Linked DNA regions of Drosophila melanogaster. The protein of the gene in region 2 interacts with the protein of the main gene of each other region in a pairwise test. Each region holds a gene or a part of one and is shown on either strand. Other genes may lie near its edges. The genes, in order: HP5, ranshi, Zif and CG18764.

Evidence for each region.
Region 1: the proteins of ranshi (region 2) and HP5 interact in a two-hybrid assay, tested with the Drosophila melanogaster proteins (one large-scale study listed by BioGRID).
Region 3: the proteins of ranshi (region 2) and Zif interact in a two-hybrid assay, tested with the Drosophila melanogaster proteins (one large-scale study listed by BioGRID).
Region 4: the proteins of ranshi (region 2) and CG18764 interact in a two-hybrid assay, tested with the Drosophila melanogaster proteins (one large-scale study listed by BioGRID).

The regions. Positions count from the first base shown.
Region 1 is NC_004354.4:11,450,610-11,461,002, forward strand, and holds HP5 (heterochromatin protein 5), read left to right. Parts: upstream 1-4,176; 5' UTR 4,177-4,467; coding exon 4,468-4,582; intron 4,583-4,672; coding exon 4,673-5,878; coding exon of another isoform or gene 5,879-5,904; exon of another isoform or gene 5,905-5,975; coding exon of another isoform or gene 5,976-6,007; exon of another isoform or gene 6,008-6,045; coding exon 6,046-7,155; intron 7,156-7,620; coding exon 7,621-7,703; 3' UTR 7,704-8,618; downstream 8,619-10,393. Other genes in the region: CG43155 (uncharacterized protein), read left to right, coding at 9,273-9,515.
Region 2 is NT_033777.3:8,724,177-8,731,503, reverse strand, and holds ranshi (ranshi), read left to right. Parts: upstream 1-1,810; 5' UTR 1,811-1,843; coding exon 1,844-1,963; intron 1,964-2,020; coding exon 2,021-2,580; intron 2,581-2,632; coding exon 2,633-2,878; intron 2,879-2,937; coding exon 2,938-3,052; 3' UTR 3,053-3,137; downstream 3,138-7,327. Other genes in the region: M1BP (motif 1 binding protein), read left to right, coding at 1-62, 131-834, 892-1,137, 1,403-1,568; CG8159 (uncharacterized protein), read right to left, coding at 3,188-3,473, 3,533-3,778, 3,847-4,394, 4,457-4,576; ouib (ouija board), read right to left, coding at 4,971-5,316, 5,380-5,852, 5,901-6,020; nom (numerous disordered muscles), read right to left, coding at 6,828-7,053, 7,122-7,327.
Region 3 is NT_033777.3:6,455,233-6,463,024, forward strand, and holds Zif (Zinc-finger protein), read left to right. Parts: upstream 1-1,855; 5' UTR 1,856-1,924; exon of another isoform or gene 1,925-1,984; 5' UTR 1,985-2,054; coding exon 2,055-2,198; intron 2,199-2,260; coding exon 2,261-2,877; intron 2,878-2,934; coding exon 2,935-3,069; intron 3,070-3,170; coding exon 3,171-3,441; 3' UTR 3,442-3,590; downstream 3,591-7,792. Other genes in the region: CG9727 (uncharacterized protein), read right to left, coding at 26-789.
Region 4 is NT_033777.3:11,623,305-11,630,819, reverse strand, and holds CG18764 (uncharacterized protein), read right to left. Parts: upstream 3,932-7,515; 5' UTR 3,827-3,931; coding exon 3,710-3,826; intron 3,655-3,709; coding exon 2,768-3,654; intron 2,695-2,767; coding exon 2,584-2,694; intron 2,526-2,583; coding exon 2,411-2,525; 3' UTR 2,368-2,410; downstream 1-2,367. Other genes in the region: CG14712 (uncharacterized protein), read right to left, coding at 1-1,036, 1,100-1,502, 1,572-1,739, 1,806-1,879; CG6813 (uncharacterized protein), read left to right, coding at 4,234-4,344, 4,405-4,817, 4,877-5,122, 5,195-5,309; CG14711 (uncharacterized protein), read right to left, coding at 5,985-6,102, 6,160-6,270, 6,329-6,463, 6,526-7,034, 7,094-7,219, 7,275-7,409.

The DNA.
Region 1 (10,393 bases), on a different chromosome or scaffold from region 2:
GAAAAGCAATGACCTTTTAACTTAATCATTTCAATTAGCAATCAATTTAAATGTCAAGTTCAATTCCAAAAGGGATTGTTACAACACGATTCGAAATAATACATCTCCATTTACAGTGTACTCGTACAATTGTTGTTTCAGTTGCCATTGGCTAAAATAAGTTCCCAGTAGTAGCATTCACAAGTGCTTCAATAAAAAGTGTTTTCAGCGCAATATTCGAGCCGTTTTGGATTTCAACAGCCACAAGAAACCGAATTCGAAACCGAGACTGAAATTGAAATTGAAATCGAAATGGAAATGGAAATGGAAACAGACGAAACTCCTTCAGTTTCCAGCAATAATAAATAGCAAAAACGATATGTGTCTGCAATTGCTGTTGAATGACTGAGTGAAAAAAATATAGGGAGCGGCAAACAAAAACAAAAAAATCAGGAAAGAAAACTGGCTGGCTGAAGAAAACAACAAACAAACCGACATTGTTGGCCAAACTGTAAAATCATTGCTTGAAATCTGGAATTTGGCCAAACTCACAGTGGCTATTGGCTAACAGAAGCAAAGGGAAGAATATCATTGTAAATACGAAAAGTACACAAATTATTACAATAAACAATATTTCTGGTTCAGCTGTTACAAAAAATAAAGTATCGTAATTATTTCGCAGTTATCGGGCATTCACTGTGCCCCGAAATACCAGCACGTCTGCATTGGAGATTGGCACACATATCGGTATCGCCACTACCGCTTCTGTTGTTACCTGCTTTTCTATGCTTTGGGGCAGGTAAATCAGGTAAGCCTCCAGTTGGCCAAGTGGCCATAATAGCTTGGCCACGACTGTGTGGATGCTGGATGCCCCAGCCCCATTGTTGTTATTTTCGATATTTCTTGGCGAAACATACATACATATCGGTTTTATGTTGTGGAAGCTATTGCCTCTGATTTTACATAACGGCACTTTTTGCCTCGCCAGAAAGGGACGGCTAACAAAAGGTAGCTGCGCAATCGCAAGAGACGGCATGAGGTTGTCAAACTTTTTTCGAAAACAAATTTCAGAGGAAGTAACGAAATGCCAATAAAGTAAAGCCACGCTACATAGATACTTTTCGTTGAGCCCCACAAAGAAAGGTGGCAGCTCGATCATGAACTTGACTCCAATAGTTAGTATTCGCTTAAACAAGTAATTACATATATATTTTATAATTTAAAATGCACTTAAAATGTTAACAAAATCGCATTTATTTCGGAGTCTTTTTTTGCACAGTGATCACTGTAATTTCACAGTTGGCTTACTTAATTTGCGTTTAGTTTGGTTGCGCGAAAACGTGTTGGCAAGCGCTTGGTATGATCCGTTAAAAAATATGTATACATACATAAATACAAAATAAACGCCGATAGGGAAACAGACTCAAGTGCAAATTATTTTTGACATATATTTTTTGCGGCTTTGCGGCGAAGGTCGAAAGCTCGCGCGATCGAAATGGGCAACATAATAAGCAGCAACAAACAACCGCCAAAATATCATAAAACAATGCAAATAATGAAACATGGCGAAAACACTTGAGCAGATAGTTGAAAAACCCGCTAAACGCAAAAAGAATTCCGTTTGAAATAACCCAAAAAAAGTATCTTGACTTTTGTTATTTATCTTTTTTTTATATATGTATATGTTTTTTTTTTGTTGGCCAGAGAAGGCAGAATGAAGGCTATCCTGCCCCAACCTTCTCCAGATAATGACGGATGATACACCAACACACCCACGAGCTCTGCAAATTTATGATCATAATTAACATGACGATGACTTTCTGCTCTATGTGCTCCACTAGTTTTAATGCTCGTGATTTAAATAAATAGCACAACTGAAATTTGAATAAGCACGCAACAATCCCCACGCACAAAAAAAAAAAAACAAAAACAAAAGACTTGAGTGCGATGGGTCGGGTACAGCAGAGGTCAAAGGACTATGGCTGCATTTCCAAAGCAAAGTAAAGTATAAAGTAACTGAGCACTTGTCTGCCTTTGGGCATCTTTAAGATCTCGATATAATTTAGCAGAAAGCCCTCAGTTGCACGTATATGTAATCTACATACGGATACAAAGCTTATCACGACCGGCAGATAAACAAGAGTTCAGCAATCTTTTAGCTAGTTTCGACGAAATTCGCTGCAGCCAGTTTGTTTTTAATGCAATGAAAGCGTTAAATTAACTGTATTCATATTAAACAAACAACAATGAAGCTTAATAAGCTAGCAATTTACTATTTTTAATGCTAGTTTTTTCACCCCCACTGTTCGTTGCGTCTACGTAGGCCATGTGCAAGGTGGCAACGCTGCTTGCAAGGTGTCGCCGAGTTGGCAATGCGCAGGCGCAGAGCGGGCTAGAGCGAGATGGAGAGATGCACAGTGAAAATTGGAGAACAAGATTAGATGTTATTTTTAAATATTACTAAGCCATTGGTCGTAATTAATGGTTTACAGAAGAGTGGACGTAGAGTCATTATTCTTCGATTTCCATTTCCATTTTATAACTGGCAAATAGTTTTTCCCTCCCTCGATTGCTGAATTTTCCCACTGTGCGTTGGGCCCACGAAAAGTGGGTGGAAAGCAAAGGAAAGGAGAGCAAGACAAGGTTACAACAGAGCAGGAACAACAACAACAACTAGTGGCAGGAGCAGCTGATGCGGTGGGAGTGGAAGAGCAAAGCGAATTGGGAAAGAGGAATTGGGAAAGGGAAGCGGGCAATGGGAAATGAGCAATGGGAATGGCAATAGGAATGGAAATGGAAAAGGAAGTAAGAGCAGGGCTGCCCTGTTGTCATTGTTGTTGTTGTTGCTCAGCGAAGCTGCAAAGAACGATGATGAACGATGATGAATGATGATGGACAATGAGCGATGAACAATGGACAATGGACGCTTTTAATTACATTAATGCGCGAAATTTAAGCATACAAAATTAGTTGTACCCGATTTTCTTTTGCTGCTTCGCTAATTTGTAAAAAAAAAAAGGTAGCAACAGACACACACACGCGAGCATAAACCCACACAGACAGCGAAAGAAAGTTTCTGTATTTTTTCCCACTCCACTTTTTTCGTTGATAATGTTTACACACACACATTGAGTTTTTTTACGGAAGAAGTAAAGATGATGAAGAAGAACGACACATAAAATATAAATAAAGATGCTGGAACCTCACCTTTGCTGCTGCTTCTTCGGCCACTGTAAATGAACCGTTAGGCTGGAACAGGGGGTGGTGGTGGTTGCGTTAGTGCGCTGCTGCTGTTGTTGTTGCTGTTGCGGCAGCAACAAATTGCCGTTGTTTATCGTTTTTTTTTTATCCGCGTTTCGTTTTCAATCAGCTAGACTTTTCCACATTCGACGAACTCAATATGTCGCGATCAACTCGTATCCGATCGAGAATCGTTTGCATTAACTTTATAATACACGATTATTTTGACGACACTACCGAACTTTTTGCTGCTGTAAACGTCACACAAACACACACACACACACACGCACAGGCAATTGCACACACCTCAGCAGCAGCAATTTTTTCTCTCGCCCTCTCTCCCTATGCTGTTCTGTATGACTTTATTTTTATTTAAATACTAGTACTTTTTTTAAAAGGACTACTTTAATTCAATCACTCGTTATACATCGACCGAATATTGCACTGGAAAAAAATACAGCGTTCGTTCGACGACGGTGAATTCACGAATGTTTTTTTTCGCCCACTGGCGGTGTGACCGTCGCGCAAAAGCTGAAGTAAGCCGCTAAATAAGTATTACCATATACTAAAATTCTCTGAAGCGCAGATAGCTGATAACCGATAGAAAAGTTTCTACTGCATTATCGATTATTTGAATAATACCAAAAATACCAATGATAGCTGTTTAGCACAGACTCAAACCTGTACAGTGGGCTGCAAGTGCTGTTATTACATGTTTGTAAATGATTTTGAAACATTCAACCATATGAGATAAGTATGAATCTTAATGGAGTTATGTTGCTCAGAGTAATAAGTTGTTGTTCAGCATTCCATTGATGAAAAGTGTCCATAAGATCTTTGTCGTTTAATGATAGGAAATAGGCTATTTGTTGATAAATTTAAAATACATTTTGTGGTTAATGATTGTTGGCGACATAAATAACCCATAAAAATGCGCCGAGGCGGTGAAATATTTTCGCGGTATCTGCGCACGGGCACACCAGCTAGATGGCGTCTTTAGGAGTGTGTAAAATTAATCAGGAAAGTTACCTGAATGCAAACGCGATTTTAAAAGTCGCATCTGCTGATTAAGTGGGCAAATCGAGTGCTCCTCGCGCCACAATTAGTCCGTGGTACAGTGGCCTCACTAATTGCGCAAAACACACATCTGTAAGCGCATATTAACCGTATATTTTAAAGCGGTAAATCTGCGCTCTTTGCTAATTTTCATTTTCGTGGGAAAATCGCAAAGGGCTGAAACCTGCGATAATGGATATTTTTGATATGGTCAAAGCGGCGCCGCCGCCGCAAACTATTAATCCGGTGGACACCAAGCTCTCCACTCCGTCGCCCATACCGCCCGATTCGCCAATCGACGTAAATGGTAAATTGAGCATAATTTTGTTTGCCTGCAAATTGGCTGGCAATCCTAGAAGTTTAATAACCTCCAATCGTTTTTTCCATTTTCTGTCAGACCTCCTGGAGAGTGGAAACCAATTGGACGAGAATGACTTGCGCATGTCGAGAAAATCAAAGAATGTCGAACAGTGCAGCATTGATCTGTTTGATTCGGAAACATCATTCGACCATCTCGACGAGTCATTGGCCAAGAGGAAGCGTAAGAGCGTGGCTAACTCAAAACCAAACAAAAGCAGGAAATCCACTGTCTCTGCATCGACGCCGCACAACAAGAGGCCAAAAGTGTCCATTGACGACGACGGCGAGGCCATCGAGGAGGACCAGCAATCGATGGTGGTCGTTCCCACCAAGACGAAGGCTCAGCAAAAGATGTTCAGCGATCAGCAGTCGCCGAATGTTAAAAGAAAGGTGCGGGTGCTATTACGTCGCCTGAAACAGACAGAAATCGATTCGGCCGTCGAATCTTTGGCCAATTCATCATTTATCAATGTGCCCGAGATCGTTAACCAGAGCGGTACTAGTGGCCGTAGCAGGCACAAAAAGAGAAAAACGTCACCTAAGAAACAAAAGTCATCAACAGCGCAGACCAATTTCCACATCAAAGTTCCTTTGCAGAATGGCGCCAAAAAGCGTGCTCTGAACCACTCGTTGCGCGCTCATACACCGCCGCCCAGTTTGGCCAAGAGTTCTGAAAGCACACACTCCGCACTGAAGCGAAGTCCCAAGCCCAAGATCAAGGCGAAGAGATTATCCAGTCGCGGACGCAACACCGATCCGGATTTGGTTAAGCGTTATGGCGCGCATTTCTTTGGCTGTGTGGTGAAGGTGAGGAGGACGCGTTTACCAAGTGCCAAGTGGCCTGACTGCAAACCGCCTCCCATTGGCGACGGAGTTGTCAGGAAGGTGTATCCCAAGAAGGCGGTATCCTTCAGCGAGGCCGTCGAGATTCTGGGCAGCCCCGGGGGTCCATCACGTCGGTCTACTTTCGGTTCGCTTTCATCGAGAGGAGCTCCGAAACCGACACGACTGCAGCGTGTGGATGCCACTGGCAATGTGCTGGAGGACATAGCACTGACCTCCACGCCGCTCTTCTCGTCATCTTCTGGAGGCTCGCGCGAGCGGGTTAGGCGCCGCTCATGCAACGGTACGCCTGTGGTCGGAAGGCTCAAGTTACGCAGGTTGGGCCGCCTAAGCATAGACAACAGCTCCTCCAGGTCTGATGGAGGTGGAGATAATGATGATGACGATGAGGAGTATATAGGTAGGAGGATGCACTTATTAAACTGACATCAAACTCGATGTAATCGCATTAATCATGTCTCATTTTGTATTAAATGATTTCGTTATTTTTATGACAGGATTTGACCAAATCAAATTAAAGAAGAATTGAGCTAAAACTAATGCAATTCTCTCCATTTTTACGTCCAGTGCCCAACGATGTGCCGGGGTCCCAGAGATCTGGAACGCCTCCGCCCAAGAAAAAGAAGATATCCTTCACCACGACCATCAGTGATGATGAGGACGAAAAGCCGGTACTAAAAAAGCAGAAGGATGCACAAAAAAAGCAGCCAAAACCCCTAAAAGAAAGATCAAACAAAAAGACGGACAAGATGCTAAACGAAAAGGAGACGACTGACAAAATGCAAACGAAAAAGGAGAAAAAAACGGAAAACTCACCAGTTGTGGAAATTGAATCCTCCGATCCTGATGTCGAAATCAAACCACCAGTGAAGGAAATCGAAACGAATGAGCGAGAGGGAGACGCACACGAAACTGAGACAAATGAAGTAGAAAGAGATAGAGAAGAACAATTTGTGGATGCAACAGAGAAAAATACAGATGAGGCGAAGGAAAAAAAAGTAGTAAAAGATATGCCAGAGTTAAAAGAGGCTGACAATTCGGAGGAAAAATCGGAAGATGCTCGAGAAGAAGTTTTGCTAGACGAGGACGAGAAAAATCTGGAGGAAAATGCAGCTGAAATCAGCGATAACGCCGTCAAATCTTTAGAAAAACCAACGAACGAAGACAGGGTTGAGAAAGTAGAGGACGAGGTCGAGCATGCCGAGGAGTTCAGTGACTTGCCGACCCCACCACAGCTCCCGTCCACAACTGACGATAACGAAGATGACGTGCTGGAGATCCAGACGTCGTTGGACGATGTCCGTCAATTGCATACGCCATCATCCCGCCAGAGTACGCCCAAATCGCGCAGTCGCCTCGATTCCGGTGACTCCGATTGCAGCTTTAAGTCCGCCAGCGATAACGCCAAGCTGCTAGCTGGACAAGCCATTGAGGAAACAGAGCAGAAAGCAAGCAAAGCGCCGAACGATGACGAGGATCAACAAACAGCAGCAACCATCATCGGTGATCCCATCGATTCACCCGAACTGCCGGCCGAGCTTATGACCCCGCCCTCGGCGCCCAGGACAGTGAATGGTGAACCCACCAGCGAATCCAGATCAACGGCAACGACATACTACTCGCCCATGGAGGATCCCATGGCCACGCTAGATGACGTCATCATGGACCAGCTATCCGGTGAGTGCCAGACGATCGCCTCCATCGCAAGGCAATCTCAAATAATAGCATGAATACTTAGGGAGTACAAGTGGGGACTGTTAAGTCTTCAAGACAGTAAAGTACGTCATTTTCTACTTTAATTCTTGCCAAGTAGTCTCGCTTTTCACGAAACTTCTCTATTTTGTGAGGCCAAAAACTCTTACGTTAAAGCTCTAGTGACACTTGGTCATTGGTCAAGCATTCCATTGATTGATTTAATGAACATTCGCCCGTTGCGTACATTTGTCATTAAAACAACTACTTAATAGGCATTTTTTGTACTTTCTCTGGTCTTCTCTAAGTCTGGGTATCTTAATTAAGTGTAAGTGTATAGGCAATGCACAATTTCCAGTTGCAATTTGAACTTGCTTATATTTCATACTTTCGTAAATGTTAATTTGAATGCACCTTCTAATAACTATTTGCTCTGCTTATGCCTTTTAGAACCCAACTTTCAGTTGAACTCCAGCCGCCATGCCATCTCGAGGGGTACACTGGACGAAATAATGACCGCGTTAGAATCGTAGTAAGCTGGCAAATTGCGCACCAAGTACAGATAGACAGATACAGATCGAAACCGAAGCATACACACAGACACAGACATAGCTACAAACTCACACGCACACACGTAGGTTTATTAAGGACCGATTAATTTGTACATTTAACTGAATTTATAATTAGTTCTCCCTACGATCAAGAAGTAGTCTTACGTTTATTTTTAAAGACATATTCAATTTATATGCAAACTCACGTTGAAAATACCAAAGTATTTTTGCAAGAGAAAGCTATTGGTGCAAACGTTAATATTTTGCACTTATATGATTGCTAAATTAGTCAGCAAAACAGGGACAAAATTTAACACAGCTCACTCACTCAACTTGCAAATGTGTGCGATAGACCGTAAAAATTAATATTTTAATATTATTAACGGTTAAGCGGAATCAGAAAATCAATTTTCAATGTTTAAGCTACTTAAACAGAGCGTTACGTTAGTTTGACTTTCAAGAATACGTATTGTTCGTTTCTCATCCTTTTTTTTTTTGACAACTTAGATTTAAGAAACACTTGCGTTCATGCACATATATAAATATAAATATATATATTTAAGTATGGATCGTCTTAAATGTACTGTAAGTTCAATGTATTAATGTACATCATCATCATAAAATGTATGTATGTAAAAAGAAAACAGATTAAAAATGGATAAAATATGTTGCCAGTTTTCAATGGGATTGGCTGAGAAACTTTTTCGAAATTTGCCGCCATTTGAAGATGTTGCCACATTCGAACATTGACGTTGCCATATTGTGAAAAGTCTTGTACCGTTTATTTTAAGCTATGTAAAAATGATGTTATTTTTATTACCTAACATGTTTTTTTTTTCACAGAATATTCTACAGTTAATTTATACAGATTGAATAAATTTAATGTGCTAGAAAGAGATTTTTTTGTGACTAATTTGAATAGATAAATGGAAAGATGTTATCTTGCTTTATGAACAACACACACTTAACTTTCTGATATATTTATCAATCACAGGATAACTTAAGCTCGTTTTTATTAATGTTCTATTATATAATTAATATAATAAAATGTTTCTATACACAAGCAACCATCGCTCAGCGTTTCCGTTCTTATATATTCTTATTATAATAAGTATTATTTCGAATTTATGCAACGATTTTACGTTCGTTCAGTTTCGCGGCCAACGTTGCCACATGTTGCCACACGCTTGCCCCCAAAGGTGGCCACCTTTCATGCAGAGCCCCGCGTATCCAATGCAGCGCCAAAAGCAAAACAGTCGCAACTTTGACTTGTTGACGGTTGGTTCTCCTCGGGATTCTGGGGCCGCGTCAAAATTCCAGATCGTTTGGCGCGAGTGCGAACTATTTCAAAAGTTGCCCCTTTGCGTGAGACGTGCCCCCGAAATGTTGAACTCACAGGACCAAAGCGGGCCGGGCCCCTGAAAACCAAAAAGAAAATAAAGAAAGAAATTAAATAGATATAAACAAAAGAAAGAAAAAAACACACTATTAAATGATAGCACAAGTAATTTAGGCATAGGCCGGCCAAAACAATCAGAAACGGAGTGCAGAATGCCCATGAAGAAGGTGACGGTGAAGGAGTACGATTCGCAGGATGAGGCCAGCACCGAGCTGCTGGAGAAGCTCAAGCATCTCGACCGTCGTGTGGATGCCGCCGAGGGTGGTGGCTTGGCCAAGGGAACCGCCGGCGGACGAAGGAGCACCGCCTGCTGGCAGTCGATGAAGTGGAAGTCGGCGCTCAATCACATCGGACTGCTCGTCTCCCTGTCCATTTACTGCGGCGTGGGCGGATTGGTAAGCGATGGTGGGGGGCAACGTGTGTGCCCAGTTCGGTGCCCAGCAGACCCGAACATAACTAGGCAAATATTTAATTATTTTCAATATGTTTTTATTTATTTATTTTTGTTTTTCCATCCCCCCCTACCTTTGGCTCGCCTTTTGCGGCTGCCGCGAACATGCAAAATGATTTGTGTTGTTGGGCGAAAAGCCGAAAAATGGCTAGCGTTCAAATTGTTTGGAGCAAGAAAGAAATGCAAAACACACATAAATACAGTGGCCAATCGAGCAGGGGATTTAACTTGGCCTAAAAAGAAAATATTTAATATCCCTCTAATGCATTTTTAAGCCAACAAATTTAAGTCACTATATCCTTCCTTCAAATAAATGTTGCATATATAAAAAATTATGAATCCAACGATCGTGCACTGTACCAATGCGATTAAAAACAATAACCCAAACAGAGCGCAAATTTATTGCAGTGGGAAATAGTAAAAATTAGACCAAAATTAAGTCATAAAACTATTTTGTACATTTAAGTGCCCCGCCTCCCCTAATTGCCACTGCACACATATATCGCCACATATCCAGACGCCCAAATCTGTCTGGCTGGCGGAGCAGGAGGCAGTGCATCATGTGGACCACGTCCAGGCCTTTTTGGCCTTGTCTAAACATTTACATTTTCGCCAATGACGTCGTGGTTTCAGCTCTTGGCCAAGTTCTAGATACATATATACTTGTATATATATGTACATATGTGTATTTGGAACTGATGCCGTCAGTTGTCCACGACTGCAAACTACAACTGGCTGCAGTTAATCCAAGGCAAAGGTTGGAGCTGAAGCAGCCAGGAGTCCTAATTGCTGTGTCCCACGACTTGACATATGGCCAAGTGT
Region 2 (7,327 bases):
AGTTATTCGAGCGGAGCAACACAAAGATGATCGACAACATTGAGGCGCTCACAGGCCTTCGGGTAAATTTTTCACTGCGGCTTTATGGAATTTATGTAGTTATAGCTTAATTTATTGGTGTTTAATCTAGCTGGAGAACTACGGTTGCCTGCCGGATCAGATATGTGAATGCTGCAGCATGGAACTGGCCTCCGCCGTTAAGCTGAGGGAGCGCTGCATCGCCGCCCAGCGTGAGCTACTCTTGGGATTGACCGAGGAGCAACGCCAAGGCATCTCGGCCTTCTACCGGGCGGCTGTCATGGGCGAGGATATTGTCCAGACGGTGAAGACGCCCGACGATGATGAGGTCTATGCCACTTATCAGGAAATCGTATTGGAAGAACCTAAGGAAGAGATCGACGACACCAAGGTAGAGTACGATAATACCTACTACGAGGTGGCCGAGGGACACGCCGGCGAGGACGACGCAGCCTCCTTGATTGAAGAGGCCGACTATGATTCCATAATGGCCGAAGACGAAGAGCAGCAGCAAACGTTGGAGCTGGACGAAGACACCGAGCTAATTGTGGGCGACGTCAACGACGCGTACGTCTACGATTCGGATGATGAGGTGGCCGTTCTTGACAACGTGCTGGATGATGAGTACGAGCATGAAAACATTGTCGTCAAGAAGTGTAGTCTGCCGCCAAAGCCAAAGGTCCGGTCGGATGATGCGCGTCGTCGTGGCACCGGCGGAGTATACATCTGCGAGCAGTGCGGCAATCACATCAAGGGACGCATGGCCTTTGAACTTCACTGTCGTCGCCATCGTGGGGACAAGCAATTTGGCTGCGAGTGAGTACATTTCTACTCCTTTTTGGATACAGTATGACTAAATGGATTTATTTTCAGACTCTGTCAGTCGCGCTTCTGCACAACTTCCGAGCTGAAACGCCACATGCGCAAGCACACCGGAGAGCGACCGTTTGCATGTAAGTACTGTGGCCGCTGCTTCACAGACTACACCACGCGCGTGAAGCATGAGCGTACCCACACCAATGAGCGCCCCTACGTCTGTGGTACTTGCGGCAAGGCCTTCACTACCGGCTACATCCTTAAGAACCATATGCTGATACATTCCGGCGAGCGGGCCTACAGGTACGTTGAGTCATACAGCTACACAGTACCGGGAAACCCAATAACTAGGTTTCTTAGAAATTCTAAGATCATATTATGCGGCATTACAAGAGTTTTCCAAAACCTTATGAGAGTTAAGATAACTAAATATTACTTATGTTGCCAAATTTCGTGAGTAATATTTAGTTATCTTATAATAATTTCTTATAATAATATGAAACTAGTGATACTGGTACAGTTACTGAAATGTTTGAAATGCCATCTAATACTGAATCTTCCCCTCAAGGTGCGAGCTGTGCGACAAGTCCTTTATGCTGCCCACCCACCTGAGCACCCACTTCCGGTCTGGCGTACACAAGCGGCATCTGGAGAAAGCCGAGATGAAACAGGTCCTGGAGCAGGAGCAGAAACGTGAACTCAAGGAGGAGGAGGAGGACAGCCTGCACATCTAAAGCTGTCCTTATAATATATACATAGCAATTACAGGCAATGCTAGACCGACAATGGCGCACAGCCAAGGAGCATTTCTGCAAATAATTAACAAACCAATTGTAATATGTAGAACTTAATATTGAATAATAAATCAAAACTTCAAATCCCAACTTATGAGCATTTATTTCATCTGTAAAAATTGCTTCCATGCGAATGGCAAACGGAACAGCTGATTGACAAGCATAGCATTGTTTACAAAAAGTTTGGCGTTTCAAACTTTTTTATCGGCTCAAAAATGGAAGGAAAAGTGTGTCGCACTTGCGGCAAGCGCACGAATGCTGAAAGATCATTGAATATTTTTGAAAAGCGCAATCAAACTACGCTGGAACACATCAAACTACTAACTGGAGCTGTGGTGAGAGGATAATAATGCGTAGTGTCTTTAACTTTCTAAAGTTTTTTCTCTTTACAGTTAAAGAACTGTAGTACGTTGCCAAATCGACTATGTGCGTCCTGCCAAACTTGTTTGCAACAAGCCATATCCTTTAGGGAACGCTGTTTGGAAGTCCAAAGGGAGTTGCTCCATTCCCAAGATGATGAAGACTTCCTTAGAATCTGCCAGGAATCTCCCAAAAGTGTCCTTGAGCAGGAGGAGTTGGAACTGGATCTGGCAGAAATAAGCATAGAAGTCGAGCGATTAGACGATCTCAATGAAGGGCCCATTCAAAGCTCCGGTTTTAAAGTGGAGGACATTCTAAATGAATCTAAAATCAACGAAGACGAGCCCAATAATGAGGACGATATTGATTATAGTGAAATGGATTACCTTATTTACGAAAGCGATACTGAAGTAGATGCAAAGCAGGAACTCAAATCAGACTCTGAGAATCCCAAAAAAAGGAGAAATCGTCGAAATCCCCGCGACTCCAATAGGACCTTCTTTTGTGAGGAGTGCGGAAATCACATAAAAGATCGAATATCATTCATACTGCATTGTAAGCGACATCGCGGCGTCAAGGAGTTTGGGTGCGAGTAAGTGGCAATTCTACTTAAGATTGATCCTAACTAATCCGCTTCATTTAAGATTCTGTGAGGATCGCTTCTGCACGCCGGCGGAACTTAAGCGTCACATTCGCAAGCATACCGGGGAAAAGCCCTTCAAGTGCAGACACTGTTCCCGCAGCTTTTCTGACTACAGCACTCGGTTGAAGCACGAGCGGACTCACACTAACGAACGACCTTTTGTCTGCAAGGAGTGTAACAATGCCTTCACAACATCCTATATTCTTAAGAACCACATGCTCGTGCATACCGGGGAGAAGGCTTTTAGGTAAGCGGGTACTCGAAATAGTACTTAAGTGTAATAATAATAATCTATTCTATTTGCAGGTGCGACCTCTGCGATAAGTTATTCAGTCGCTACACACACCTTACTACCCATTATCGTTCAAATGCTCACAGACGAAACATGCAGAAAGCAGACACAATCTTTGATAAACCCTAAAAGGTATCACTTAAGAAGCTCTTAGTTGAAAACGGTTGCATTACCAAAATAGGAATTTTTACAAAAAAAATCAAAACGGATAATCAAATTGTGAACTATATTTGGCTTTAAAGGTTGAGATGGACTCATTAAGGTCTAGTTTGTACTATACATTAGAGTGGATGTTTCCAGAGCAGCCAGGCCCAAAGACTCATCCTGCTCCTGCTCCGCGGGCAAAGGCACTTCTATCGTAAAGGCATCCGCCTCTGCTTCTGGCTCCTTTTCCGTCACGAATTTGACCTGATCCGCTGACTGGGATGGTGACAGCTGAACTCCACCCGCGTCTGCCATCGATTTCTCCAAGTTGTGCTTATGAGTGTTAGAGCGGAAGTGAGTCTTCAAGTGGGTGGGTCGCGCAAAGGATCGATGGCACAGCTCACATCTGCAAAGGATCGGCTAGGTGATCATTAACTTAAGCACTATTTATCATAGTTTACTAGCCTGAACAGGCGCTCGCCCGTGTGGATAAGCATGTGGTTCTTGAGGATGTAGGAATTGGTAAAGCTCTTGCCGCACTGCGCACAAATAAAGGGTCGATCATTTGTGTGGGTCCGCTCGTGACGCAGGCGACCACTGTAGTTGACGTAGGTGCGGTCACAGTAACGACACTGGAACTTGCGATCTCCAGTGTGCATCACTTGGTGTCCTTTCAGCTCACCGGAGGACAGGAAGCGGGCGGGGCAGAGTCTACATGAGAGCAATGTTACACAGTTAACTATCAGATTGTACAATTGACGAGCTAAAGCTTTTCTTACTCGCACTGAAAGGGCCTAATTCCGCTGTGTTTGCGTAGGTGACGGTCGAAGGAGGACTTCCCTGTAATATTGTTGCCGCACTGATCGCAAAAGAAAACTGGAAGCGTAACCTTTGTGCGATTTTCACCTTTCCCGCCTTTCTTAAGTCCCCGACGTCGGGTTCTTTTCAATCTGACCGGTGAGGTAGTTCCATCATCTTCGGTAGAGCTGGACATCGCTTTAATGGCCAGCTCCATGTCTGCTTCGTTGCAGGAGTCCAGGTGATCGATGCCATCATCCTCCTCATCGCCATTGCTCAGGCTCTCCAGCTTAATCATTACCTCCAGCGGACTTGCTGGCGTCTTTGGAGCGGTGTCTTCATGCCGCTGTCTTTGGGAACGGGCACTGCGACGAACTGAGGAGCGGAATGTGTCCTCTTCATTCCTGACCAGCGACTCTTCAAAGATCTTCTGACTCCTCAAGCAGCGATCACGAAAGGATATGGCGCTTTTCAAATCCGTCTGGCAGGTCTCGCACATCCAGTCGGGTAAACCGGGTTCGCATTGCAGCTGCCAAATAAGATACAACATTTTAATTGAAGGAATTAATGTGTTTCGTAGGGTAGGCTTACCAGAACACCGGTGAGCAAATTGATTTGTTGCAGCACTTTGCAGGCGCCGCTGTTAAATAGTTTCAACGATTTCGAGTTGTCCGTGCTGCTGGCACACACGCGGCACACATTTTGCAGCATTTTACCAGCTTACTCGATTCTAATTAGTAAATTTCCAATTGTAAACAAGACAGCCACCCAAAACTGATTTGCCATTTGCCACGAAGCAGCGCACTAGCTTTTCCACCTGAGACGTTGTCCAGCACTGGCGACTTATAAAACCACTAAATCGTAACGGCTGCTACTAATTAAAATCAAACAATCTATACAAATTTTTTGTTTTCTGTGTCCTACACACTTAAAAGCATTAGCATTTATTTCATTTTGAGAAACAGGTGTGGTGCAAATATTGAGTATACAACTTAAATTCATAAAAATACGATAAGATAAAAATAAGATAGTCCCCTTTTGGGTATCTTTTTATCTCAAGGAGCATGTAAATCTTATTATTTCATAGCTTGAGCTATTTAATCCTTCATGACTTCTGCTTCTTGACATTTTGGAGGTGCATCATGGATCTGGTGTGCGTTACCAGGTGCGCCTTTCTCTGGAAGGAGCGATCGCAAATATCGCATCGGAAATTCCTCTCGCCCGTGTGGATGACCATGTGGTTCTTTAGGACGTAGGCAGTGGTGAACTTCTTGCCACACTCTTCGCACACATAGGGTCGATCGTTGGTGTGAGTCCGCTCGTGGATCAGCCGGCCCATGTAGCTGACATACCGCTTTTCGCAGAAGCGACAGGCAAACGGTTGCTCCCCAGTATGTACCCGGTGGTGGGCACGTAGTTCGCCAGCAGAGAGAAACCTGGCATCACAATCCCTAAAAAGAGAATATGGAATCAGCATACCGAACCTACAGTTGTAATCTGTGAGCGAGGTTTACTTGCAGCCAAATGGTCGTTCGCCTCTGTGTTTTCTCATGTGGCGCTGGAAAGTGGGTTTCGATGTGGCATGAGTCCCGCACAGCTCGCATATGTAAATCTGATCATCCAGTTTGGTTGATACTTTGATAATCTTTTGTGAAGGTACACACTTCTCATCTATTCCATCTTCCCTCAGCTGCGCTTTCGCATCTCTATTCAGAGTTTTGTCCATGGGCTCCTCTTCAATCAGTACCTGAAAAGTTTCTTCAACCAACTCGCCTTCTTTCTTTTTCCCAAAATCGCTGAATGCGCATTTTTCCGATTCCAGTTCCGAATTGTCATTGGTATCTTCATCACCCGACGAAGAGTCGTCCTCGATGGTTAGCCATTTAGTTTGGGTCTTAATGCAAAGCTTCCGGAATGCCAATGCCGATCTGAGTTCCGCCTGACAGCAAAGGCACATGAAACCAGGAACATCGTCCAAATCCACCAACTGGTGCTGATATTATTTATCTCAATTTTAAAACGTCTTTTAACTCACTCTTAGTCCGCTTATCATGTGCAAGTGCTTTAGATATTTTCGGTTGACCAAATCGAAGAGATTCAGGCTCTTCTCACAGATTTTCTGCCTTCCGCAGACTCTACACACGATGTTCAGCATCTCGATCACTAAACTCGACTGATGGAAAGGCAATTGTATGGTGATTACATTTTGAGGCAAACCAGATAAATTATTCATTCAAGGCGGGGATTTTTGAAAGTCAAAATCTTTATTTAAATAGCTATTGATCTGTTAACAACTGGAGCAGTCTGATAAAACAGATACTGCTTATAATATTAAAACTTAATAATAGGTGTAAATAATATTGGTCAAATCGTTAAGCTGAACCATTTCATGGGTGCTTGAAATAAGTACGACCTGCATGCTAATAATGCGCAGGATCAATTTTTGAAAACAAAACATATAGCTTCATATTTCTGTTTCGGTAAATCGAAATAATCCACGTAAAATGTTTCGTAAAATGTATTTCGAAAAAGATTTGATTCTAAATTCAATGTTCATTTTTGTACCTCATGTCTGAATATATTTTATTTTAAAACTAGCCCAATAAAGTATGTATGTATAAGATAAGACTATATAGGCACTTTTGTTATATTCAAGGAAGCAATTGCAATGCAGATGTAAATTACGCAAAAAAAAATAGCAAAAACTAAAATTTGCAATAACATGGCCACTGTAAAGTGTTTTTTAAAAACTACGTGCTAAAAAAAGCTAAATTTGTTCCCAAGTTGTCTCTTTGTTGCTGAGTTTTAAGGAATTACAAAAATGTCACCAATATTTTTAGACCCATATTTGATATTGTCTTTTGTGGTTTCAGCTGTTATTAAGTCTTTGTGGGTTAGCTCTTACCTAAATTTTTTTTTTTTTTTTGGTATATTGATAAAACATATGGCATCTTGAGATGTATTAAACTTCCTGACACAAAAGGTCGAATTGCGACTGCACCAGATCCTCGTCAATGGAAGTGGTCAGTGGAGTGCCTTGGGACCAGGTTTCATCCGATTCAAAACTGAGCATGGACATGTACTCCGACGACGAGGTGACGGCTTCAGCATTCCGCTTGTGGGTATTGGAGATGAAGTGCGTAGCGAGATGTTTCTTCAGGCTGAACGAACGATCGCAGACATCGCAACTAAAACGGGAATGAAAGATTATAACAGAATGTATCTCGACATGTTTTTTTTTAATTTCATCAAGTACCTATACTTCCTTACAACTTGGTGGACCGCCATGTGGGCCTTCAGAATGCAGGTCCTGGTGAAGGCCTTGCCGCACTGATCGCACACAAATGGTCGCTCGTTGGTGTGGACCCGCTCGTGCTTCTTCCTGCCCACCACGGAGAAGTAGCGACGATCGCAGTAGCGACAGGCGAACGGGGGCTCCAAGGTGTGATGGGTGAGATTGTG
Region 3 (7,792 bases), 2.3 Mb from region 2:
ATAGGATTCTTCAAACAACACTTACTCCAAGCTGGTCTCAATCACCTGCAGCACCCTTCTCATCTTCTCCTCACTGGGAACTGATCCCGCTGAGTTGGAGTTGCTCAAAGCATTCATTACGTTTTCAGCAATGGTGGAGTTTATCACTCCACTGGCCGCTGGAACGCCCTCGTTCGGATGCCGTGGACCAGCTATTGTTGGGGTCGAAGGAGCAGCTGTCGCTGGAGTCGTGGTGACTGGTACTGGCGCCGATGGCACTCCCGCAGTAGCTCCGCCCATAGCGTGCATGATCTTGCCCAGACCCAGTTGCTGGGCTGTGCTAAAGCTGAAGGCATTGGCAAAGGCCAGGCCAGCAGCATTTGCACTCGCCGTGGCAAAGGGATTCGGAGTAAGTACGGAAGTGGAGACACCTCCACTGGCGCTGGTGGCATTGGAAAACGGAGGCGGCACAAAGCCGCTGGGCGTGGCTACAGGTACAGGTACATGGGTGTGACTCGTGGGCGAGATCTGGGCAGAGGCAGGTGCTCCGCCGACAGGGCCCACGGGCGTAATGGTCAAAGGAGAGCCCTTTGCATGGATAGCAGGTCCTTGAAATCTGGTTGCGCTGTAGACTATATCCGCGGGCTGTAGGCTGCAGTTCCCATAGGGATTGGCGTTGGGTTTCTGGAGGGGTAGTGCCACAGGGATCGGTTGAGGTATGGGAATGGAATTGGAGACTGGTGCTGTTGTTGCTGCTGGCGCCGCTGATTTCGTCCACTGCGCACCCAGCTGGCCGTGCTTCTCGGACATGTTAGGTGCTAGTGCTAGCGGCGCCTCCGTTTCCCTCCGCCTGCTGCTGCTCCCTCGTTGTTTTCTGCCTGCTGTGGTTTCTGGCCAAGATTAAGGGCGCTTCCGCTGCCAGGTTACGTAGGTGGCTGCCTGTGTGAGTGCTGGACTGCGTTCTATTGAGTGTGTGTGTGCCTTAGGAGATGGAGATTGCCGAGTCGATAACTGGCGCGACGAACATTTTGACGGCTGCGACGGACGAAGATACGGATGCCAGATATAGTTGCTTTCCCATTTTCCCGTCAGGCGGGAGTGCGCTGGGCGTGGGACGTGAAAGTGCGTGGCGTTCTTTACTGCCAACGAGCATGCGATTTTCCCAGATACGCACCGATTGAACCGAAATAATCCATTTTTTAACGAGAGATAAGAAAATATCTTGCGTTCTGCGTCTCGAAAAATATGTGGCGTTGCCAGACGGCTGCATTAAGAAATGTGCTTTTTTTGCCAGAGCTTTCGGATGTAAACACGGTGTTGTATTTGCGATTTCGCATAAATAAATGAGTAAATTACTAATAATTTGTATATAATTTGCAGATTCACCTTACGCAATGTTAGCTTGTATATGATAAACATGCAACGCTAGTCTTTTAGTGATCTTGCTGTCATCGTTATCGCCACTGGTCAAAAAAATGAGCCATAGAGAACTGGTTCCTAGCTAAATTAAATCTTTGGTGAGATGTATTGTCAGTATTGGACATAATATTTTCTATTGATAAGGCAAATTTAAGCGCATTAGGCCTTTTTTTAAATAATATTTAATGTAAGACGTTGGTATTTTTATGATTGAATTCTTTACTCTATCTAAATATACGTAAATATGAAAGAAATATATAAATATATATATAATTGTTTTCATAATATTTGAATATTTGAAGTATTAATATTTTCTTTCTCATTTTACAAGTTGTTTGTGTTTATAGGCACACTGGGGAATACTTTCAGTTATCATATCATATCGTTTAGCCATGGTTAAAGGAACAAATATTTCCAATGTATTGTCACAAGCAGCAAACATGTTTATCAGATATTTAACCAAAAATCCGCTTCCCGGAACCAGCAAAATGAACCACATCGTGTTCGCCGATGCTATGCAGCCCTGGTAAGGAAAATGGCGATGTCTTTTCGTTTCTTTTTTCAGTCGCTTTACACAACACTTTAGCAACACAAATTTTAACACTACAATACTACGCGAGCGGTTCTTTAAATTAAATTTCGAGCAGGATTCCAGAATGCGCGTCGAGCTTACCCCACAGACGTGCCGGGTCTGCCTGGCGCAGAGTGAGCGACTGCAGCGCCTAGACGAGATCCGCGAGGAAGGCGAGGAATCGCCGAACGAGATGTTGATTCAACTTTTGGGAGTCTCATACAGCAATGTAAGTGAATCGCTAGAGCTGGCAATGCGAACTGACCATTCATCCATCCATCCCTCATGCAGCTGAACGACAGAGAACACATACCCGATGGCATCTGCAAGTCCTGCAAGGTCGAACTCAACATGGCCTACCAGTTTCGCGAGAAGGCGCTGCGCAAGCAGATGGAGATTGAGGAGTACTGCCGGGAACTGGGCTTGCTGGACGAATCAGATGTGATGATGATCAAGGAGGAGGACGGCTCGCAGCAGCAATGCGACGAGGAGATGTACATCCTGGAGGAGACCACCACCGGGGAAGAGGAGCACCAGGAAGAAAAGGGGCACGAGGAGTACTTGGAAGTGGACACCAGCGATCAGCAGGAGTGCATTGGCGACACCATCGAGTACTTGGAGGACAACTACACCATCGAGATGAACTCCGATCAGACCGAGATCGTCCTGGAGTCTGAGAAGCAGTACGAAGAGACACCATCGCAGCAGTTGGCGCTGCAGGAGGCGGCCAAGGCAAGCCTGAAGGCGCGGCGCGGCCGGGTTCGTCGCGGATTAAACTCCCTAACAACATCGGACGGCACTGAGAAGGGTGGCTATATCTGCGACGTCTGCGGAAACTTTTACGAAAAGCGCGGCCGGATGATGGAGCATCGCAGACGCCATGACGGCATCTGCCAATATGCATGCGAGTAAGTCGAGTCGGTAAATTTCATATTAAAGCGATAACCCTAATCCCGCCTTCACAGACTATGCGATGCCAAGTTCCAGGTGCGCGAGCAACTGAGGAAGCACATGTACTCCCACACGGGCAGCAAACCCTATAAGTGCAGCTTCTGCAGTCGTCAATTCTTCTACGAAAGTGTTCTCAAGTCTCATGAAAAGTGAGTAGAAATGTTATTCTCACGGAGAGGCCTCAAAATGGGCCATTTAAATATATTCCTAGTTCGGGACAGAGATAACTAACTTTTCTTTTTCCGATCAGTGTTCACCGTGGCATCAAGCCCTACGTGTGCAAGGTGTGCGACAAAGCGTTTGCCTACGCTCACTCCCTGACCAAGCACGAGCTCATCCACTCGGACATCAAACTGTACCGCTGCGATTATTGCAACAAGGACTTCCGTCTGCTGCATCACATGCGCCAGCACGAGGAGACCAAACTGCACCAGAACGCCGTAATGCTGGCCGAGAGCATGAAGGTGGAAATGGTGGCCGAGCAGGGGGGCGGGAACGAGATCCGAATTCAAGCTCACTGACGCAATCAAATTCAGTAGAGTATACTGTCTTATTTCCAGATATAATCCCTTATAATCAGTAATACTAGCTTAAACGCTAACGGATAGCGTATTCATAGTTGTAAGAATGAACTTCATACGTAAATAAAGGTTATTTTTGTTAAAAATAGAATATCAAACGTATGTGATGTTTTAGCAGCATGTGGAATTTGGTTCATAAAATTAATTTATTTGATAATTTGAATACATACAATACAATACAATACAATTTGAAATGTAACACGCCCGAGAAAATCTGGCAATCTAGTTGTACGCTAGTTGGTAAAAGTCACAACTGGCCGTAGTTATTTCCACAATCAATGTTCGCAATGTGTGTGCGCGGGAAGCTATGCTGAAAATTATGCAATAAATATGGGTGGCTTCATGACGCCGTGGGTATATAAAATGAAATTGGAAAAAACCCAATTTGCACCTAGCGCATGCAAAGCACCAACAAATGTACAATATCAAAGGAAGTTCCGAAATTACATGACTTGAATGCGTTTTTTTTTTTCATTGGCCGCTTGTCTCCTTTTTTGAACTCCCCCGTGTATCATATCATCATTTTAGCGGAAACAAAAAATGTTCTTATGGACTGGTAAAGCCTTTCGGCCCCTGGGGCTTTGTATTTGATTACGGGTGGTGATACACTGCAAGCAAAGCTGGGTACAATAATTCAAAATAGGTAACCAAGGCGCTAGTCATATTATTTATTCCAAAATTTGGTTTAGAAAAGGAGTTTAAAACTTATTTTCTGTGATATTTATAATCATGACAAATTTCTAAAATTCAAAATGGTATCCAATATTTTTCCTTTTGAAGCTGCTATGATATTTTTCCTAGTGGCGAGATTGCGGAATGTGGAAGCTTGGGAAAACCAATTCTAACAAATTTGCACGCGATTTGACATGTCGAATCCATAAAAGCGCTTCAAACGATTGGATTATGGGTGTGAACGTCGAGCCACAGCCGCAGCCATCCAAACTCAATTGCCAAATTGAGATTCGGCCCTTTTAAACTGATTACGAGCCAGTCCAGGCTATCAATTGCAAATTTATTTCCCCCGCACCAGCCAAAAAAAAAAAAAACCCTTTTCAGGAGCTCACCTCCGTCCTTGACCTGGCCCTGACTTTGCATTTGTGGAAATCGAGTGGGAAAGTCGGGACTTGACTCATCACGCAAGTCCCGCCACCTTTTTTGTGGCAAACAAATCAGCAAGTTTACGAGCTGAATTGCAAATTCCGCGTTGGAAAATCCCAACGACTTCTTGCTTACGAAGCAGGTGAAAAGTCGAAGAACTTTGTGCGTTAAGCTAAGGCTTAAGTAAAAGCAAAAGTATTAACAAATAATTTAAGAAACTGCCTGACCGGTTGACAAACTATTGTAAGCATTTCAAAAGCATACTTTGCCAAAGAGTTATGCCTGATTCCAAAAAAATCACAGAGATAAGATAACAATTCATAAGAAGTACAAAATGACAGTATGTTTTTAAATTGTATAATTTGGTTTTCCAGTTTTTGTGTCAATGCCAAGTGGCTAAGGAGGAAGTTGGGATTTCGTCTCGGAGCGACTCGTCCCTTTTCCACAGTCACTTTCGCCCGCTCCCATCGAAAATTCTGCATAATTCATGTATTTTATTTAAAGAAGATGCAAAACCAAGAACACCCAATTCCAGCCCCATTCAGCCCACTCGTTCAAAACTGGGGCAGTGCTTGTCAAATGGCAGCTGTAAACTAAATGCTTTATATTCATTTATTCCGGAGCATAAACAATGTGAACATCCTCGACAAACCGGAAGACTTGATGAGCTCCCTGTGCCTGTATATGTGCATAGTATGTATGTACATATGTATGGACATTCTCGTATGCGGTGCAGCACTGAGTGTGTGTGTAAGTTAGCATAATGTCGTGATGCCATGGTTAATGCATGTGCAACAGGATGCTCTTCCATTTGCGGTTGCCTCATCCGAGGAAATTAGTTGCTCATAGTCGAAGCATCCGCCAAAGAACGAGGATGGAGGTGAGAAGGCGACATCGTTTTATTCCATTGGTAAATTACACAATGAAATATATTCGATTTGAAGATTAGCTGTAATTACCCAGAAGTTCCATTTAATCGCTACGAAAAAAACATCGTAAAATCATCGGCCACGCCAGCAGAGCGGCTGCACAGCCGACGCTCTTCCGAATCTCTCGAGCGCGATCTCTCTTCTAAAAACAAACGGAACATGCAAAGACAAAAAATGTACAGTTTGTCAAGAAACTGTTTACACACTGGGAAATAAGTTGAATTTTTGACTTTAAAGGTACAAATTAAGAGTTCTTTGATTAATAAAACGCAATTTCTTTATTAAATATAATTAAACAATATTTATTTTACTTATAAATAAAAAAAAAAAATTTTAAATAAAGAAAATAAACAACAAATTCCAAGTTTACACACTTTTGAGACTGTCAAGAAACCCTTTACACAAAACACTAAACCTAAGTTTAATCCTACATTTTTAAATTATTCTATTACAATTTTAAAAGTTTTAGTATGCAGTATGGTGGATATATATTGGCTTTCGCTGCAAGTTGAAGCCATTTTTATCCGATTAAAAAGAGGTAAAAAAGCGAAGAATAGAGCGATGGCATACACGTTAAAGTGCGCTTAAAAATCGGTGATTAAAAGCGATAATTTTCGCTCTTTTAGCGGTGTTTATGTGATTTTTTTCATATCTATGATTGCCTAGGTCATGTCAATGTCAAAATCATCGATTGTTGTCATACAAATTAAGTGGGGATTAGCGCTCGAAGTTTTTGTTTAGCGGTGATTCACCAGTGAATGCAGGGTTATTTAAGGCAAATAGTTTTCACAAGTATGTCCATATAACTTTTAATAAATGTTCTATATTTCCTATATCTTATCATATGACGGGTTTCTTTAAAATTATAACACTTAATGCCTAACAACAACGAAGGGCCATTTTTATATACTTTTCGAAAATCCTGTTGCAGAAATATATTGGTCCTATCCAATCTATACTACTTTTGGGAAAGTATCAACAAGTTTACTCTGAAACGGACAAGGCTATATCGACTTTGCTGTTGATCAAGAATATACATATATACTCTATATGGTAGCAAACAGTCGAATAGAAATATGAAGAATGAATATAGAAGCAATAGATAGTACATACATGTACATATGTATGTATATACTTTTCTTGGACCAAATGCCTTACATTACTGACTGCAAACTTCTGACTGGAATCAGAATACCCTCGGCAAGGGTATTAAAACTCCCGTCCTGGTGCTTAAAAAAGACTCAAATAATAAATAAATATATATATATAATGTATATACAAATAATAGTATTAAATGGAGTTAGATGCTCATTTTCTGTGTTGTGGATTTTTGAGAAAATAAATACATTTTTAATTGAACTTTTCACAATTCGCTGATCAAAAAATCGAAATGCAATTTAAATTGCTTCAACTTCTAATCGCACCCCTGACAAATACTAGGCTTTGAAAAGAGAAACCCATTTAAATGCCGAGAAATCCCCTTTAATGTAGCGCAACATACACGCTTGACAGCCACGCAAAAACAAGGGCAGCAATCAACGGTGGCGGGGGGAGGAGCTGGAGGAAAGGGGTCGGGATGGCAGGAAGGATGCTCCATAAACCAGGCACGCCACCGCCAATCAATAAAGCCCGAAACAACTGACGCTCTGAAGCATCAAATATTTGTAGGTCTCGGCCAAAGTTAAGATGTGGAAAATCCCCACGAAAAAAGCCGTCGAACCATTAAAAGTAAACGCTGTGGAAAACGAACGATGTTTCCTTCAAACATGGCCCGACATTGGATGAGATTTGGCCGTAATAAACGCAAACAAATGAAATAATTTCGACTGCAAACAAAAGGGCATAAATTTATATATACATATGTACATATTTACGTTTATGGCTGTATACATTATACTCGCTTTCGGCCCAAGAACTCTAGCTTCCCAAATATCTATACGTTCGCGTATCTATGTGAAATTTATTAGCGAGAAGGGCGGGGCACATAGTCATGGGGCGTGGAACTGTGGCCCAGTAGACCTTGTCCAGTCCGCTTAGCCAAATTACGCATACGCACAGTTGTGCCGCTTGCGGGAGGCGCAATAATTCATGACACACGACAATCGGCGCACGACTCACGGATACGGATTCGGATGCGGACCCGGTCCCGTTCCCGGTCCCGATGAAGACATCGGCCACGTAAATTGGTTTAAGCTGCCGGCAACCGACAGCCCACCCAATCTCCATGCCTCCAGCATACCAGCCATCCAGTGGCACACCGACTT
Region 4 (7,515 bases), 2.9 Mb from region 2:
GCACAAGTTTGGGCACTGAGCCAGTGCTATTCGTATTTGGCACATCTGCTGGCTTTATAACCTGGTTACTTAGTATTATCGGCTTGCTGGGCGCAGAAGTTGATATGGTTGCGGTGGACGTAACGGTCGTAGTGGATGTGGTTACAGGAGCTATGATGATGGGTTTGACGGGAGTAGGAAGCGTCACAGGCGCTGGCGCTGACTTCGGCGCTGGGGCATCTAGTTCGTCCGGCTCACCCAGGTACAGTTCGCCCTTCAATCCACTTAGCATAATGGCTAGTTTGGTCTTGTGTGTGCGTTCTACGCTAGGGTTCTTGGCAGCCAGCATGGAATTCTGCTGTTTAGGCTTCACGAACTGAATGCCTGCATATTCGCCGGCATCTACTTCCGGGCTACTCAAATCGGGTCGCGGCTGTTCCGCTATCGTTTGAGATTGTCGCGCATTGAAGAGTGTAAGCTTAGGTTTTTCCGTCACCTGCGGAACTGCCTTTTGAATGGCAGGAGCCGAAATGGCTCGTGAAGCAGGAACTGCCGCCACAGTCACGACGGGCATGCTCATTGCCTTGCTAACAGCTTCTGCATCAACTTTACGTTGAATTTTGGCAACATTTTCGGGCGAGTTCTCAGGCGAGCTTCCTCCACTAGCTAGTGTGTCGTTTTTGCTGTGCTGAAACCTTTCTCGCATGTCCAACAGCTTCCTCTTGTTGCTGTGACGGCAACTGGAACTCAGCGAGGAAGTGATGTCGTTGCTGTAGCTACAATTGGGACGTTTGGCTACCTGCTCCGGAGATTGTGTTGGGGAGATGGTTCCATTCGAGTTCATATGTTGCAATGCAGGAGAAGCAGCCGACAAAGATGTCGAATGATGCCTGAGCGGAACCGATACCGTCAGCTCTCGTTGCCTTTTAAAGGACTGATTCTGTTGTTGCTGCAAATTACGTAGTTTCTGTTGCTGACGGTGATGAGCCACAAAGTCCACAAAGTCCACGTTTTGCTGGCAACTCCTTTTCGTGTAGTCTTGAGCCTGTTGCGTATCCTGAAAGCAAGCCAAGTGTAAGCCGGTGATCTTCTCATAGGATGATTGATGGCTTATACTTACTTCAGTGTTGATGCGCTTTCGGGAGATCTCCTTAAGCTCCTCCAACACGCTTCTAGTTGGCTCGCTCTCATGCTGTGGATGAGGTGGGTGCAATATGGGTCGATTCTCTCTCGAAAGCTGCTCCTGTTCGGTGGTCTTTGGCACTAACCCTACCAAGGAGTTGGATCGCAACAGGCTTGACAGCGTGTTTCCGGAATAAAAGCTGCGCTCCGGTGGTGCAATCTGCGTGATCGAAAGCGTCGGCGCCCTTGACTTGTAGGGCAACGGGGAAGCGGGCGCTCTGCGCGGCTGCGTCAAGGGATTGTAAAGATTGCTGGCGGACATGCTGCGTTGCAGACCACTGCGTTCGCTTAAGGCCACGATCCGGGATGACAGTCCGCTGCTATGCACATCGGCAAAGGTTCTGAAAGGTATGAAAATTTGATATTGCACTTTCGTCACATCGTGAAATGGCACACAAGCTTTGACTTACCTGGGATCAACCTGACTGAGGTTCAGTTTCTGTCGCGTTATGGTACTGGACGATGTGGCAGAGCGATTCATCAAGGACCGCTCCGGAGTGCGTGTGCCATTGAGCGAGGTATTCGACCCCTTGGGACTCAGTCCCCTCAGGAAATTACTGGCCGCCGGACGATTGTTTCTGAACAAAGGAGAGCAAATTTGATTAGTAACCGCTTAGAATCCAGTTGGACAGGTGGTGTCTTACAACAGCGACGCGTCAATCCGCGTGGAATCCGCCATGGGTGACATGCTGCTCATGTTAAAGCGACGACGCTCCATGCTGCCGAAGGTCAACAACCGGTATTCTCACAGTGCAGTCGGGCGGAGGGGAACACTTTTGGCGGGTGAATCAAGCTTCGTCGTAAACGATTGTGTGCAATCTCGTTTCTTTCTTTTTTTAGTTTTATTAATTCTAAAGAGAAATGCAATGTGAATTTCATAGGAAATGGTTACTGTGTGACCGTTGGTGAAGCGCCAAAATATACCAAAATCTTTAAGCCTTTGGCTAAATAAACGATTAAAGATAAAAAATAATGTTTAATACTTTCTCCGTCAAATGTATTTGGAAGTTTCGGGCAGACGTGTAAACTTGAATAAAAATTCTTATTTTCACTCCAAATTTATATTGAAATATGTCAGGATTGCCACCTTGGATACTTATTGGCAGGGCTGCACTGCAGCATGTGTCGATTATTAAATCGGGTTAATAAAATTTTATCGCAATTTAAATGTTTGCACTCCAATTAAATGAAAACATTGCTTTATTTCTTATATCTAATACTTGTTTTTTAATTTAAATACTATATCAGCTTATAATTGTAGTACCTCCGCACCAATGGTTTTCGCTTTTGCAGTGTGAAATTTAGATCGCAGATGGGCCTTTAAGTGAGTGTTGCGCTGGAAGGATTGTTTGCAGATGGTGCAGCTGCAAAGGGAATTGTATTAAATTTTGGAATACCAACGCCTAGTCAAAAAATACTCACGCAAAGGCTCGCACTCCTGTATGGATTAGTTCGTGCCGCTTGCGTCCCGAAGCTGACTTAAAACATTTATCGCAATGATGACAGCTGTAGGGTTTGGCATTGGTGTGAGTCCTAGAAAGGATTTTTTTTGGTTTGAGCTCAGAAATGTCCGAATCCGTAGTGGATACAAGGATACGTCCCTTACCTTTCGTGGATGAGGCGAGTGTTGCTATTGTGAAAGGACTTGGTGCAAAAGCGGCAGTCGTATGGCTTCTCGCCCTGGTGAATGATTCGTTGGTGCAGCGTCATGAGATGGTCGGTGTAGAACCGCTTGCCACACTGCTGGCAGGCGAAGTTCTTATTGCCCGTGTGCCGCAGCATGTGAAGCTTGAAATTGCTTTGGTCGGTGAATTGCCGGCCGCACTGTTCGCAAACACACTCGCGTTTACGCTGCAGTCGCTTACGCTCTATGATCTGCTCCTCGGTCATATTTTTCCACGTAACGTACTGTTTTTTCCGCTTGGGTTTTGTGGTCGCTGGCTTCGTTGACCGACCTGCTGCACTCTTCGATTCGGGCAGCGGTGTGTTTGGGTTCGATGATACTTCATATTCGTTTATAGTTTCATTGAAATAGGAACCGTTTTGGGGCTCCATGTAATCGTTGTTATCCGAGTTGCTGTCGTCGTTGCAAATGCTCTCAAGTTCTTTCTGTACACTTGAGATCAGAGATTCGACATCTTGAGAATCCTCTTCGGCTACTTCAGCCATATCTTGAAGCGCATCAACATCTTCAACAGAATCAATATAATTATCCTCATCCAGATCATGATGAGCATCACTATCATGATCCAAAACTTCTTCTGGGGATTCCACAATGTATTCATCGACTTCCCCGAATGGATCGTTCAGACAATCCGGCGGTGATGCCATCTCCTCAACATCTTCAGCCGGTTCCTTCGCTTCGGGAGATCTACGACGATGGACGAGCTGCTTCTGCGTTAGGATGCACCGCTCCCGGAACAAAATCGCTTGGTTCAAGTCAAGCGTGCAGCAGGCGCATATGCTGCTGGGCAGCTCTGGATCGTTGTGGAGCTGCAATCACAGAAAATGCTGCACAAATCAAATGGAAACCATTTTTCTTACATACTGTTGTGCCAGTGACAAGATTTATGTCTTGCAGCATCTTCTCGTTCTCAATATGAAAGAGATTCTTGGGCATTTTATTGTAGATGATGCTGCCGCAGGTCCGGCACTGGAGCGCCATAATGTTAGTTGAAAATCAACCGAAGTTTAGCCCAACTTCAGTTTAATTCGAATATAAACAACCAATTGTTTTGTAAACGCATCCACTACACATATGTATGTATATATATTGTGATGCAACAGCTGGTTTTATTATCGACAAAATCGATAAGTGCGGCAATGCCATTGTGTGACTTAAATGATTTAAAAAGTGCAGTAAACCATTATGGTACTCTTATTAAATGAGATTATAAAACATATTTGTATTTATGTTACTTCATAAGGTACTAATCCCTGTGCAAAAACTCTAAACAGCGTTTATGCGTGCAAAAGTTAGAGTGACCATGCAAATAGCTTAACGACACATTTCGCATAAGCTGCTCGAAACGTAAACAGTAAACAATTATTCAAAAACAAATCAAAGTCGAGATGCGAATTCTGAATTGCCGCATTTGCTCTAGATCAGATGCCCCAATAGACCTTTTTGGTCCAGGAAACGGTCATCTAGTTCGTCAAATTCACTCCATTACTGGGGTGGAGGTAATATGTCTAAAAATATTCCTTAATCATGGCACTTAATTTGCTATTTATACTTTCCAGCTAAGCTGCAAGAAAGAAATATCCGGCCAAATGTGCACGACTTGCCTGGACAATCTGCAGGCAGCCATTAAGTTCCGCCAGCGCTGCATCATTGCCGAGAAACAGAATCTGGAAAGGATTGAGTGCGACAGCAAGGATTGCTCCACAGATCCAATAATATACGAAGACATCGATGATAACCAAATTGAGAGTGAGTTGGACGAGTCCATTCTATGTCCTGAAGTCAAAGATCTTCCAATGCCAAGTGCTGAAAAGGTCTCAGCACCGACTAGTTTGAACCATCAAAAGTCAATTGGAGGAGGTACTGGTCCATATGTATGCCCTGATTGCGGAAGGATCATTAACAATAAGTCAAACTTTCAAGAGCACACGCTCCGGCACACAGGCATCAAGAATTTCCACTGTGTTTTTTTGTAAATTATCCTTAACCTCCTTTGGGCTAGTGCACCTAAGATACGATTTTTCTCCTCAGGAATTGTGAAAGGAGCTTTGCAACTCGAAAGGAACTGACTAGCCATACGCGTATCCACACGGGCGAGCAGCCATACGTGTGCGTCTACTGTCCACGTCGGTTCTCCTCTTCAGGCGCTCGCCAGGAGCACCATCGCCGCCATCGGAACGAACGCCGCTACGAGTGCGACACGTGCAAAAAGAGTTTTGTAAGCTCCGGATGTCTCAGGAAGCACAAGATGATCCATGTGGATGCGCGGAATCACTAGTGGGCATTTCGATTTCTGCCAACTCTGCACATTATTTGTATTACACGTTTCAACACACTTTGATTTTACAGCTGCTACGTATGTCAGAAGCACTTCAAACGAATCTCCCATTTGATGACCCACCTGTCCAGCAATATTCATAAACGCAAAGAAGAGAAACTCACGGAGCTAGCCATTGAACAATGAAGCTGCCTATCTAGCCATTACACTAATTAGCTATCGGTAAGAATTCTAAAATTCCGCGTCCTTTTCTTTAACAAGGTAGACGTACATTTAAGTACAGGTATTCGCATAAATCCATTTTATGCGAATATCTAGCATATTTGGTTTTACTTTTTGTTTCCCTAAGGAATAGAAGAAGAGCCGCATCCCTCCCGACTTCCAAACGTTTTTAGATTTTGATGTAAAACGTTACAAGTTATAAACCTAAAAAAACAAAACATATTTACTTGTCCAAAAAAAGAAGATTTAATTAATCCTGTGCCATTCGATTATTATTCCATGTTGTAGCTTCCACAAACGGTAACAAAGTCTTCGACAGAGCACAAAGAAAAGAAACAATAAAAAACGCACACTCATTTAATGGCCAAAATGATGTTAAAACTACCAAATAAACGCACAAAATCAAAGATTGTAATCGTGTTCCAATTTTTTTCTCGAATATATGGACGTAATAAAAAACATTACAAAAAATATTTGTGTTTTTGAACAAGTTCTTTAACCAAATAGTAATAAATCAAATCCGATTATTTTACACATCCGGTCTGACCATTTGTACTCTTTTTTATTTTACAATTTTTATATATAATTAAATGTACATTAATGAATTATCTAACAGAAATTGTATTGCATTGTTTTCGACTAATAGCGCCCCGTCCGTTCGTTTTTGTGGTGTATTACAGTCTGTTGGTGGGTCATGGTGCCCAAATGCTGATCCAACTGGTGCTTGCGGGAAAAGGTCTTATTGCAGACTCGACAGCTGAAAAATTAAAGGGAATTTAGGGTTATACATGATTAAAGCAGTCAATGGACCTACAGAAAAGGCTTCTCGCCCGTGTGGGTGAGCATATGGTTTTTTAGCACGTTAGAGTAGGAGAATGCCTTGCCGCATGTGGAGCAAGTGAAAGGTCGCTCGTTTGTGTGTGTTCTGCAAAAGGAACAAGTATAGTTTATATGAAGATTACTATGAGGAATTGCATCTTCACCTTTCATGACGAATATTGGAGCTGCGATCCGCAAACGAGCGGTTGCAATATTTACACAAGAATGGTTTCTCGCCCGTGTGAACGCGGATATGGCGATTTAGCTCGGATGGACCCGCGAAGGATTTGCTGCATATTCTGTAAGCGGAATAAGATTTACATAATATAAAATGGTTCAGATGATAATTTCAGATACTCACTCGCATTTAAATGGTTTCTCGGCCATATGACGACGCATATGAATGTTGAGAGCGGCTCGCTTGGAGTAGATATTGCCGCAGATTTCGCACATAATGTTCGTGGAGGATACTTCGGGAGATGATTTGAAGCTAGCTTGAACAGGCGGACGCTCCTCGCTAAAACTGCGTGGGTGTCCGGAGCTAGCACCGCGAGGTCGGCCACGTCCACGTTTAGTCATCCGCGTTTTACGCACCTTAGCTTTGCGGCAGCGCTCGATGGGCTGGTAGTCGCTATCGGTGCTATTCGGCACCAGCAAGTCATCCTCGTCCAGGTCGTCCACTACAGTGCTAGTCTCGTAGGCCTGCGACGTTTCCCCGACACCATCCTCCAGGGGCTCCTCCATGATGTTCTCCATTCCGATGTCATCCTCGACACCGTCGATGAAGTCGTTGGCCGATTCGTAGATGTACTCAATGTTGTCAGCCACTACGTGCGGCACCTCGTCCGTTGGCTCCGACTTCATCTCGGCCTGACATGGTACCGGGTCAAGTGGGATGTTTATATGTGGCCCATCAACTCTATACGTACCTTGACTACATTGGTGGCAAATGTGCGCTCGCTCTCCTGGCAAAGCTCCCGGAACTTGTGGGCACTGGTCAGTCGCTCCACGCAGCTGTAGCACAACATACTGGGGATGTTCTGCAGCGGCACCAGCTGAAAGCACAGAGTGGGTTAAGTCGCAGGATTTTACATTTGCATCCACATGTACCTTTATGCTGCCCACTTCTTCAATCTTGCGCACCAGCTCCCGGCACTGGGCGTCGTTGTCATCGAACAGGGGCGCCATCGCCTCCGAGTTGATGTCCTCTGTCAAGCAGATTCGGCACAACATGTACTCGGGCATTATCTTGCACGTCCTGGACGTACGTATGCTTGCAATTCTGAAATAAACAAGCGTCTTGGAACTTTTCCCAGGGTTGTCATGTACGCAAAACGATAAATGGCTATCG